3 linked regions of the Nothobranchius furzeri genome follow. The protein of the gene in region 1 interacts with the protein of each later gene in a biochemical or structural test. Links are inferred from orthologs where the notes say so. Each region holds a gene or a part of one and is shown in the gene's direction. Other genes may lie near its edges.

Region 1 (3,372 bases):
TGCAAATTAGCAACAAAATAGCCATTTTCGCTCCGAACTGTTCTTTGGTTTGACGTTGTTTCAGCTGTCATCAAGGATATAAAAGTTACAGATACAAAGGATGTCACTGGCGCTTTAGCTCACCTAATAAGACGTCGGACTCTCGTGCAGAAGACCTGGGTTCAATTCTGGGTGTGAACATAGTTCATTTAGAGTTTTTTTTTTTTTACATTAATGGTGTATTTTTTTACAGTAAGATGCCCAAATTTTTATTTGAGACTCGCCGTACGGCATTGAATTCACAGATGAAAAAGATGTGGGTTCAACTTTCATTTTGGAACAATTCTTCAAGCAAGGGAAGGGAATGATCTGAGCATGCAGGAGGACTGACCCATCATAAACCTTTGTCGGCTGTGCTGAAGAGAGAGGTACAGAACCAAATTATTTAATTAATTAGTTGCGTGTTCTCCTGTCCTCCGGGCCACACACACACACACACACACACACACACACACACACACACGACTGTCTCAGCTGTTATTTTCGTTAAGGAGTGTGCACGTACAGCATGCGCGCTTCGTGCACGAGCCTACTATTGAAGCTGCCGTTACGCTTTTGGCCTGAGGGGGCAATCGCGAGCATAAAAATTCTAAACTCCGTAAAGTCCCTTTAAGTAAAATATTGCCGTATTTGATCACCTTTAATTGTTTTTGTCCGAGTGATTACATCTAAATAAATCACCTGCGTTGTGATCATTGACCTCATTGATGGTTCTGTTAGCTTTGTTGTGTTTAGGACTTCAGCATGTTTGTGTTTTTTAGGAAATGGCGGTGCGAGCGCTGAAGCAGACGGGCAGCAGGAATATTGAAGCAGCGTTGGAGTACATCAGTAAAATGGGCTACCTTGACCCTCACAACGAGCTCATTGTTCGTGTCATTAAACAGACGTCGCCGGGTATGAACACCCAGCTGGTGGCTTATTATTTACAGCTTTTACTGGATGATGAGAAGACGTTTTTGTTGAGCATGACATCTGTGACCTCCTTCCATGTTGCAGGTAAAGCAGGGATGCAAAACACAATGGACCATCGGCCCACCTTAGAGGTTCCAGGTGAGGCAGGTGCCATGCCTCCTTATCACCAGATGGGGGCTTCCATGTATGACGGGGTTGCAGGTTATGGACCTGAGGGGGAGATGACCAGGCCTTACATGGGTGCCCCCCCTGTTATGAACTACATGATGCCCCCTTCCAGTGCAGCTCAGGGTGCTGCAATAGGGAATCCAATGGGTCGGCCCCCTAGCATGGGCAGCTATCCGCCTGTGATGCCTACCCAAGGCAACCCGGGTAGCACCATGTACCCCCCAGGGGCTCAGCAGAAGGGCTACCCTGGCAGCATGGAGCAGCACGGGCCCATGATGAGCTACAACGTCCCGGGCCAGCCTTTGCAGCTCCAGCCACAGCCACCAGGGGGCCCTGTTCCAGGGCCACACTATGATTATGGCCATCCCAGGCAGCACATGATGGAGCCTGCAGGCTACGGAGTCAAGAGGACTCCTTCTTTCCAGAACAAGATGCAGCCACCACCTATGGCCCCTCCAGACAACTACATCAACATGCAGGGGAAAGGGGGAATGGTTCAGAATGGGCCGGGGGGAGGAGCAGGTGGATACCCCACTAACATGTACCTTTCTCCTCACTCCCACCCCCGACAAGCCAGCCCCACATCCCACCCGGTCCATATGATGTCCCGCTCCCCGGGCGGAGTGGCAGCTTTGGGCCCCGACTTCTCAGATCTGGCCCAGATGACCCCCTCCAGGGCCAGCCTCAACCTAGACCTGTATGACCATCATTGGGGGGGGCCTCCAGTTCCTGAAGGGGCCCCTCCATCCAGGCAAGCCCAGCCCCAGGGCCCGTTTCGGGGGGAAGTACGTGTGCCCAGCAGGACTAACTCCTTCAACAGTCGTTCTGCAGGTCCAAACGCTGTCCGACCCACGATGGCTGCACCCCCCACTGCTGGGAAACAGGACTCCTCACTGGGCCCTCCAAACACCATCACAGCTGTAACCTCCCCACCTATCCAGCAGCCAGTCAAGAGCATCCGTGTAATGAGACCAGAGCCCAAGACTGCAGTGGGACCGTGCCACCCTGCCTGGATGACTGCTCAAGCCCAGGATGCAGCAGAACCTCTGACCTACATGCCGGAGGAGACCTACCCACTAGATCCTGTACAAGAGCCACGCTGTCCTCCTCCACCTTACCCGAAAAATCTGCTCATGTCTGGAGCAGCTGGAGAGCCTGGGGTCCTGGAGGGAGCAGGTGCACCAGACCCGAGCAATCCCGCTACCAGAAGCACACACAGTGGCAGCGGGGGGAGTGGAAAGGCCGAAGACGGCCAGCAGCTCAAAGAGAAGACAAAGGTCAGCAAGGGAGAGAAGACGGTGAAGGACAAGAAGCAGATCCAGACGTCCCCTGTGCCTGTCAGAAAGAACGGACGGAACGAAGAAAAGAGGGAGTCTCGCATCAAATCCTACTCCCCCTTCGCCTTCAAATTCTACATGGAGCAGCACATAGAGAACGTGATGAAGACCTACCAGCAGAAGCTCAACCGCAGGCTTCAGCTGGAGCAAGAGATGTCCAAGGTAAGATAACAGAGCTTACTGCTCATTTAAAACCAGTTCAGTCGTGTTTTTGGCACAAAATGACAAACCCAGGTCAGACCACTGGCTTCAGCTTGACCCTCCTCTTCTCTGCCCAGGCTGGCCTGTCGGAGGCAGAGCAGGAGCAGATGAGGAAGATGCTGAACCAGAAAGAGTCCAACTACAACAGGCTGCGCCGTGCCAAGATGGACAAGTCCATGTTTGTCAAAATCAAGACTCTGGGTATTGGTGCTTTTGGTGAAGTGTGCCTCACGCGTAAAGTAGACACATGCGCACTTTATGCCATGAAAACACTGCGCAAGAAAGATGTCCTCAATCGCAACCAGGTGATTTATTATGCATTTACTCTATTACTGATGAATTAGTGATTGGTGAGCATCAATCAGAGAAGTCCTAACGAGTGTTTCTGGTGCAGGTGGCCCATGTGAAAGCAGAGCGCGACATCCTGGCAGAGGCAGATAACGAGTGGGTGGTGCGTCTCTACTACTCATTCCAGGACAGAGACAGCCTCTACTTTGTGATGGACTACATCCCCGGAGGAGACATGATGAGTCTGCTCATCCGGATGGGGGTCTTCCCTGAGCCTCTGGCACGCTTCTATGTGGCCGAGCTGACGCTGGCCATCGAGAGCGTCCACAAGATGGGCTTCATCCACCGCGACATCAAGCCGGACAACATCCTCATCGACCTGGACGGGCACATCAAGCTGACTGATTTTGGTCTCTGCACAGGCTTC
Region 2 (3,269 bases), on another chromosome or scaffold:
GAATCTTCTGACCAGCGTCATAGGAACAGCACAGTCTGTGTAAGGCGGGAGGAATTTCACGTTGTTCTCAATGAAAATGTTACATTACCATGGTAACCCCACATGTAATACAAGTAATAATTTACACTTCTTGTGCCTGAACGGAATGTTTTGAGGAGTAAATTGTGCTGGTGAATGAATGAATGACATCTTCATTTCAGACATAAAAAATATTAATTATATTATTTATTATTTTATTATTATTATTAAATAATTAATAACAGATCTAATCAGGAAATGACAGGAAAATTATGATGTGCTCATTAAATCCTACCCCCCAGATGCCTCATCCAATAAAAACACCCATATAAATATTTGTATACTTAAGGTGTCCTCCATGTCACACATAACACTAACTCGCTCACCAGATCATGCAGAAATACGGCCCATCACATGTACTCCTGCATTAATGATTCTTTTAATAAAATATTTTAGTTGATTTATAATTACACAGCTTTTTAATTCCTCATCAGCCCTGTTCCACACATTTCCTCCACAGACTGAAATGCACATTATCCTCATTGGTGTACATGTGGACACAGTCCCCATGTCCCATGTGCAAAGACTATTTTCAAAGGTACAACAAGGCAGGAGACTCCTGGTCTATGTATATGGACTAGAGTGAGAGACATGGTAAAACTCACCTGATGACTGGAAGCCGCCGTTCTGTTGACGTGAACTTTGACCTTTGTTGTGCAGGGATGCTTCTGCAGCAGGAATAAACCACTCACCAAGCAGCAGCTACGACACGTCGCTGGAAGCTCGCATCCAGAAGGAGGAAGAGGAGATCCTCATGGCTAATCGTCGCTGCCTGGACATGGAGAGCAGGTTAGAGCCACATTCACTGTGTGCACTTCTGTCTTCATTCACATGTACATGACGTGCAGGCTCCCCTCACCCTGACCGCTGAGGCGTCGTCGCTCCTGAACTTTAACTGCAGGAGTGATGAGTCAAAGACTTTTGTGAAACACCACATAGCTCAGACTACTGATGGATGGACCACCAGAACCACAGAAGTTTTCCTAACTCGGACTCATGGTTACATTACCAGTGTTAACCAGCTGAGAGCATTGTCTGGAAACTGTTAACCGCAGCAGAGAAACCTCTCCTCTCTGATGGAAATGCAGAGAGAAGGGTCACATGGTGTCACTGTATAGCTGTAAAGGTTCCTGTTACCTTGGGTCGGGGTTAAGGTTGTTGCCTATTGCTGAACCTGTTAATTAAAGAAGCAGGTGGGATTAGTGCTGACTTGCACACTCAATTTCTCTCGATTAAGGGAGCTAAAGCTGTATTCTGTTCTTATATCCTCCAGGATAAAGAATCTCCATGCACAGATCATTGAGAAGGACGCCATGATCAAAGTTCTCCACCAGCGCTCCAGAAAAGAGCCCACCAAGTCAGATGCACCATCTGCAATGAGACCATCTAAGTCTCTGATGTCCATCTCTAACACTGGCTCTGGTGGGTCAGGGTTACTGTCTCACAGCCTTGGACTCAGCAGCTCCCCGATCACTGAAGAACGCAAAGACACAAGCTGGAAGGGCAGTCTGGGTACAGACCTGTCTGTTTTTTTTCTTTTTGTGCTGAGGATTAACTTCTTTGTAAATCAGACGTCAGAAACGTAAACAAACCCAGAACAAAGTACTCTGTTGTCATAGAGTACCACTACAGACATTCTGTGCTTCTGTTTTTACCTACTTTCAAACAAATCATTCCCAAACTAAACACTGGAACTCCTTTGTCATCAATATCCTAACTTCATGAAGGAGTACAGTGTTTCATAAAAATCACAATTGTTGCAAAAATAAGAAAGATGAGCATTTTTAGAAGTGCCTAAATACATGAAGCAGAAGATGTCCTTGCTTTTTGATGAGATCTTGTTTTCTTGGTTTTCCAGGGGTTCTTTTGGGTCCAGAGTCTCTGAGGACAGAGTCGATCTCATCTTCCCCTTCTCCCATACTGTCTTCCACCTCGATGATCACAGGCCACTCTAAGACTGGCAGTAGGGATAGCTGCACACAGACCGACAAGGGTCAATGCCAGGACACCAGCAAGCCCAACACTCCAGTCCTGCAGAGTATGACGCTGCCAGCCCGCCTGTCCAGCCCCAGCCCGGTTTACATCCCTGATCGCTTAGCAGGTCAGCTCACTCCATCGGAATTACACAGGATGCTACAAGGTGAAGAATGCCAAGCCACTTTACTCTCACCTTACAAAGCAAACTTTACCAAATTCGCTTTACTAAAAACAAAACGCACTTTACTAAAGTAAAAATTTCTAAACAAAACTTCTAAAATGAACTTTTCCTAAAATCACTTTACTAAAACAAAACATACTTTACTAAACAGGGTTGGGCACCGAGCATCGATTTGAACCGGGACCAACAGTTAGTTTTTCCTGGAATCGTTCAAAGTTTTATTTCGATTCCTAGTTTTGATTCCTAGAATGCCGACGGAAGAGGAATCCGCGGCCGATTTCAGTGAAAAATAAACGTGATCTGCAAATTGTGATCAACACTTTTCAGAGCTGATCACACCAGCTGTCTGTGTGCAGCACCGAGTCCCCCCCTCCCTCCAACCCAGATATAAACAAATGCGTCTGCCGAACTTTTACTCCGTGATGTAAACTTTAACTCCTGCAGCGTAGAGGAAACGTGTTAAAATACATCAACACGGTGGATTTAATAGAAGCTTTAAAGAACAAACTCTGGATGGTGTGAGGTGAGTTTGTCTCACGGCAGAAATAAAAATACACACGGAGCGTCAGCGTGCGTGTGTGTGTGTGTGTGTGCGTGTGTGCGTGCGTGTGCGTGTGCGTGTGCGTGTGTGTGTGTGAGCATCAGAAGGCTGAACAATAACCTGTAGAATAATTAAGGTCATCATGCTAGAGCAGCTTCTCTGTGGTGGACCACACCAGCTTCTGCCACAATAAATAATAATAATAATAATAATAATAAATCACACACAAAGTTGTGAAATTTCCTTTCTGAACTGTTTCTGTTGAGTTTTAATGTTTAAAATCTGTTAGATTGTTACTGACAGCAGCTACGTTTAAGTTTCACTTCCTGTTCTGACTGAACGCTGCTGCAGCATGGAGGTGTGGTTCTCAGTAGGGATGTCCCGATCGGGTTTTTTTGTCCTCGAGTCCGAGTCATCAGGAGGAGGTCTGAAAAAAGGCCTCGGAACCAAAAAGACAAATCTGACCTGTGTGTGAAACCAAATTCCGGGATC
Region 3 (3,658 bases), on another chromosome or scaffold:
TAGAGTGCCCTGATTGGCCCACAAAGCGGATAAAGCCCTGTGATTTGTTCACTAAGCAGATAGAGCACTAGGATTGGCCCACCATTATGGACCAATCACAGCTCTTTATGTGTTTGAAACCCCTCTAGAGAGTTGTGATTGGCTAGCCAGAGTCCTGGTAGGAGCTGCTGAGGTTCCAATGGAGCATGCCTAGACCATTCTTTGCAAAGCAAGAATTTGGTCTAGTTCACTAGGCTAGATAAACATTAGACTTTCATATATATTAGATTCATCACACACAACTGAAGTAGTTTTAGCATTTTATTGTTTCTAAAATTGATGATTTTGGCATACAGCTCATGAAAACCCCAAATTCCTACCTCAACAAAGTAGCATATCATGAAAAGGTTCTCTAAACGAGCTATTAACCTAATCATCTGAATCAACTAATTAACTCTAACACCTGCAAAAGATTCCCGAGGCTTTTAAAAACTCCCAGCCTGGTTCATTACTCAAAACCGCAATCATGGGTAAGACTGCCGACCTGACTGCTGTCCAGAAGGCCATCATTGACACCCTCAAGCAAGAGGGTAAGACACAGAAAGAAATTTCTGAACGAATAGGCTGTTCCCAGAGTGCTGTATCAAGGCACCTCAGTGGGAAGTCTGTGGGAAGGAAATAGTGTGGCAGAAAACGCTGCACAACAAGAAGAGGTGACAGGACCCTGAGGAAGATTGTGGAGAAGGACCGATTCCAGACCTTGGGGGACCTGCGGAAGCAGTGGACCGAGTCTGGAGTGGAAATATCCAGAGCCACCGTATACAGGGGTGTGCAGGAAATGGGCTACAGGTGCCGCATTCCCCAGGTCAAGCCACTTTTGAACCAGAAACAGCGGCAGGAGCGCCTGACCTGGGCTACAGAGAAGCAGCACTGGACTGTTGCTCAGTGGTCCAAAGTACTTTTTACGGATGAAAGCAAATGTTGCATGTCATTCAGAAATCAAGGTGCCAGAGTCTGGAGGAAGACTGGGCAGAGGGAAATGCCAAGATGCCTGAAGTCCAGTGTTAAGTACCCACAGTCAGTGATGTCTGGGGTGCCATGTCAGCTGCTGGTGTTGGTCCACTGTGTTTTATCAAGGGCAGGGTCAATGCAGCTAGCTACTTCATGCTTCCATCTGCTGAAAAGCTTTATGGAGATGAAGATTTCATTTTTCAGCACCACCTGGCACCTGCTCACAGTGCCAACACCACTGGTAAATGGTTTACTGACCATGGTACTACTGTGCTCAATTGGCCTGCCAACTCCCCTGACCTGAACCCCGTAGAGAATCTGCGGGATACTGGGAAGAGAAAGTTGAGAGACGCAAGACCCAACACTCTGGATGAGCTTAAGGCCGCTATCGAAGCATCCTGGGCCTCCAGAACACCTCAGCAGTGCCACAGGCTGATTGCCTCCATGCCACGCCGCACTGAAGCAGTCATTTCTGCAAAAGGATTCCCCACCAAGTATTGAGTGCATAACTGAACATAATTATTTCAAGGTTGACTTTTTTTGTATTAAAAACACTTTTCTTTTATTGGTCGGATGAAATATGCTAATTTTTTGAGATAGGAATTTTGGGTTTTCATGAGCTGTATGCCAAAATCATCAGTATTAGAAACAATAAAAGGCTTGAACTACTTCAGTTGTGTGTAATGAATCTAATATATATGAAAGTTTAATGTTTATCAGTAATTACAGACAATAATGAACTTTATCACAATATGCTAATTCTTTGAGAAGGACCTGTAGACCAGATTACTTTGTGTGTGTAGGCTGTGGGCATTTACGGTGGTGTGGGTTCATCTCATTTTACCTACAGTTTGGCCCTGAGATTTATTGGAAGCCCTTGAAGTTTTGCTATTGTGATATAATTCTATATATTGTGCAGCCCTAATCATATCTGTCCTTATGGTTTCTATGTTTCCTGTAGGTATGAGTACCACTGGGCCGATGGAACTAATATCAAGAAGCCCATTAAATGCTCAGCTCCAAAGTATATTGATTACCTCATGACCTGGGTGCAAGACCAACTTGATGACGAAACACTTTTCCCTTCAAAGATCGGTAGGATTTACTGCCTGGTTTCTAATCAGCCCTAAAAAGACTGTTTTTGTGCATCGTTTGAGTTTACCATTAGACCATTGTCTAACTGAGCTGAAAGCTGACGCCTCGCTGGAAACACAACATTGAGACAAAAGTACATTTTGGTTGGAGTCACATGGAATTGTAATGTACCATAGATTTGTGACAGGTTTTTATTTGCCCATGACATTCTCTCTCCCGCTCGTCTCTCAGACCTCATCCCTCTTTACCGCCTAGTTTTGCACAAAAACAATCATGCATTTTTTTGTTCTTTAAAAAAGATCAGTTACATTTTTAAAGATATGTTAAATAGGGATCGAACACACTTGGAAGTGGCTGCTTAACTATGTGCAGAATCGCAGACATGATAAAGGCTTAACATAGATGCTAGCTGAGGCATGTGCTGTTCAGGGTGGAGCACAAACAGATGTCTGGCTGATGGAGCGCTCTACATATCAGTGGGAGAACTAAATGTGCATGCGTTAGAGAAGCGTGTATATCTTTATTTAACATCCACAGCTTAAAGGTTTCCTACGTTTGTTGGAGCATTCTGTTAGCAAAGCAACACGTTCTAAAACTTCTACCATTCCAGGAGCTTCTGGTGTGTAAATAATGAACGTTGTTTGTAGGGCTGGGCCATATGGCCTCAAATCTCTATTGCAATATAATCTGAAGCATGTGCGGGAACGATATATATTGCGATATATGTTTATTTATGTCAAAATGACATGCTTTTAAATATCCTCATGTGGCAAATATATGCCACTTGAGGCATCTAGACCTCCTCTTCCACCCACTCCATGCTTGCAGTCACTGCCATTCTGTTGCCCCAGTGTCAGCAGGGTGCACATCTTAAGCCCCTTTCAGACAGGCCATGAAAAACTGAAATGTTCCGGACTCTGTCCGTAAGACCTTTGTGTCTGAATACAAACATCCGGAAAACGTTTTCCTTAATTAAACCGGACGATGCCCCTAGTAACAGGTCCGGACTTGTCACGGACAAGGTGGCTGCTTCAGACTGGTGAGGTCGAGTTCCGGACAGGGAGGAGGAGGGGACCGGGGGACGCTGTGCGCTCCTAGATAGCTCGCTCCTGTAGCATGCGGCGTACCATGGCAGCTCGCCTCCTACGGTACCGTCTAGACGCGCGACGGAGCGCTTCACACCGCTTCCGTGATTCCTTTAACCATTGAGCGCCATCATCTAGGTCTTATGCGTCTTCGTGTGCGCAGAATTATGCTTAACATAAGTCCGATCCCCCTCCCCCTCAGACATCTGGAACTTTTCCCTGCTGTGTGAAGGCAGCCGAAACAACAAGTTCCGGTACAAAAGTGGTGTGTCTGAAAACACAGTTCTGGTTAAAAACTGGACTGAATTGTCCACACATATTCCGGAATGTCAATCTGAAAAGGCCTTTAGTGACGTCATGTGTTATTGTGGTATTGCTATATAGCCAAAAACTCTATCATTACCCAGTTTTATATCGTTTCTACCTTATATCGTTTATATTGCCCACCCCGAATTGTTTGGAAGAGTCTCAGTTAGAAAAATAACAAT

What was found.
Region 2: of the proteins of lats2 (region 1) and amot, one has a biochemical effect on the other in vitro, tested with the Homo sapiens proteins (3 studies listed by BioGRID). The link is inferred for Nothobranchius furzeri from reciprocal best matches to the Homo sapiens genes LATS2 and AMOT.
Region 3: the proteins of lats2 (region 1) and mob1bb form a complex in vitro, tested with the Homo sapiens proteins (2 studies listed by BioGRID). The link is inferred for Nothobranchius furzeri from reciprocal best matches to the Homo sapiens genes LATS2 and MOB1B.

The regions. Positions count from the first base shown.
Region 1 is NC_091754.1:33,294,189-33,297,560, reverse strand, and holds part of lats2 (serine/threonine-protein kinase LATS2), read left to right. Parts: intron 1-281; exon of another isoform or gene 282-407; intron 408-800; coding exon 801-933; intron 934-1,035; coding exon 1,036-2,618; intron 2,619-2,734; coding exon 2,735-2,962; intron 2,963-3,051; coding exon 3,052-3,372. UniProt on the Homo sapiens protein: Negative regulator of YAP1 in the Hippo signaling pathway that plays a pivotal role in organ size control and tumor suppression by restricting proliferation and promoting apoptosis.
Region 2 is NC_091750.1:44,155,589-44,158,857, reverse strand, and holds part of amot (angiomotin), read left to right. Parts: intron 1-738; coding exon 739-867; intron 868-1,351; coding exon 1,352-1,590; intron 1,591-1,936; coding exon 1,937-2,218; intron 2,219-3,269.
Region 3 is NC_091746.1:66,457,724-66,461,381, reverse strand, and holds part of mob1bb (MOB kinase activator 1B), read left to right. Parts: intron 1-1,951; coding exon 1,952-2,085; intron 2,086-3,658. UniProt on the Homo sapiens protein: Activator of LATS1/2 in the Hippo signaling pathway which plays a pivotal role in organ size control and tumor suppression by restricting proliferation and promoting apoptosis.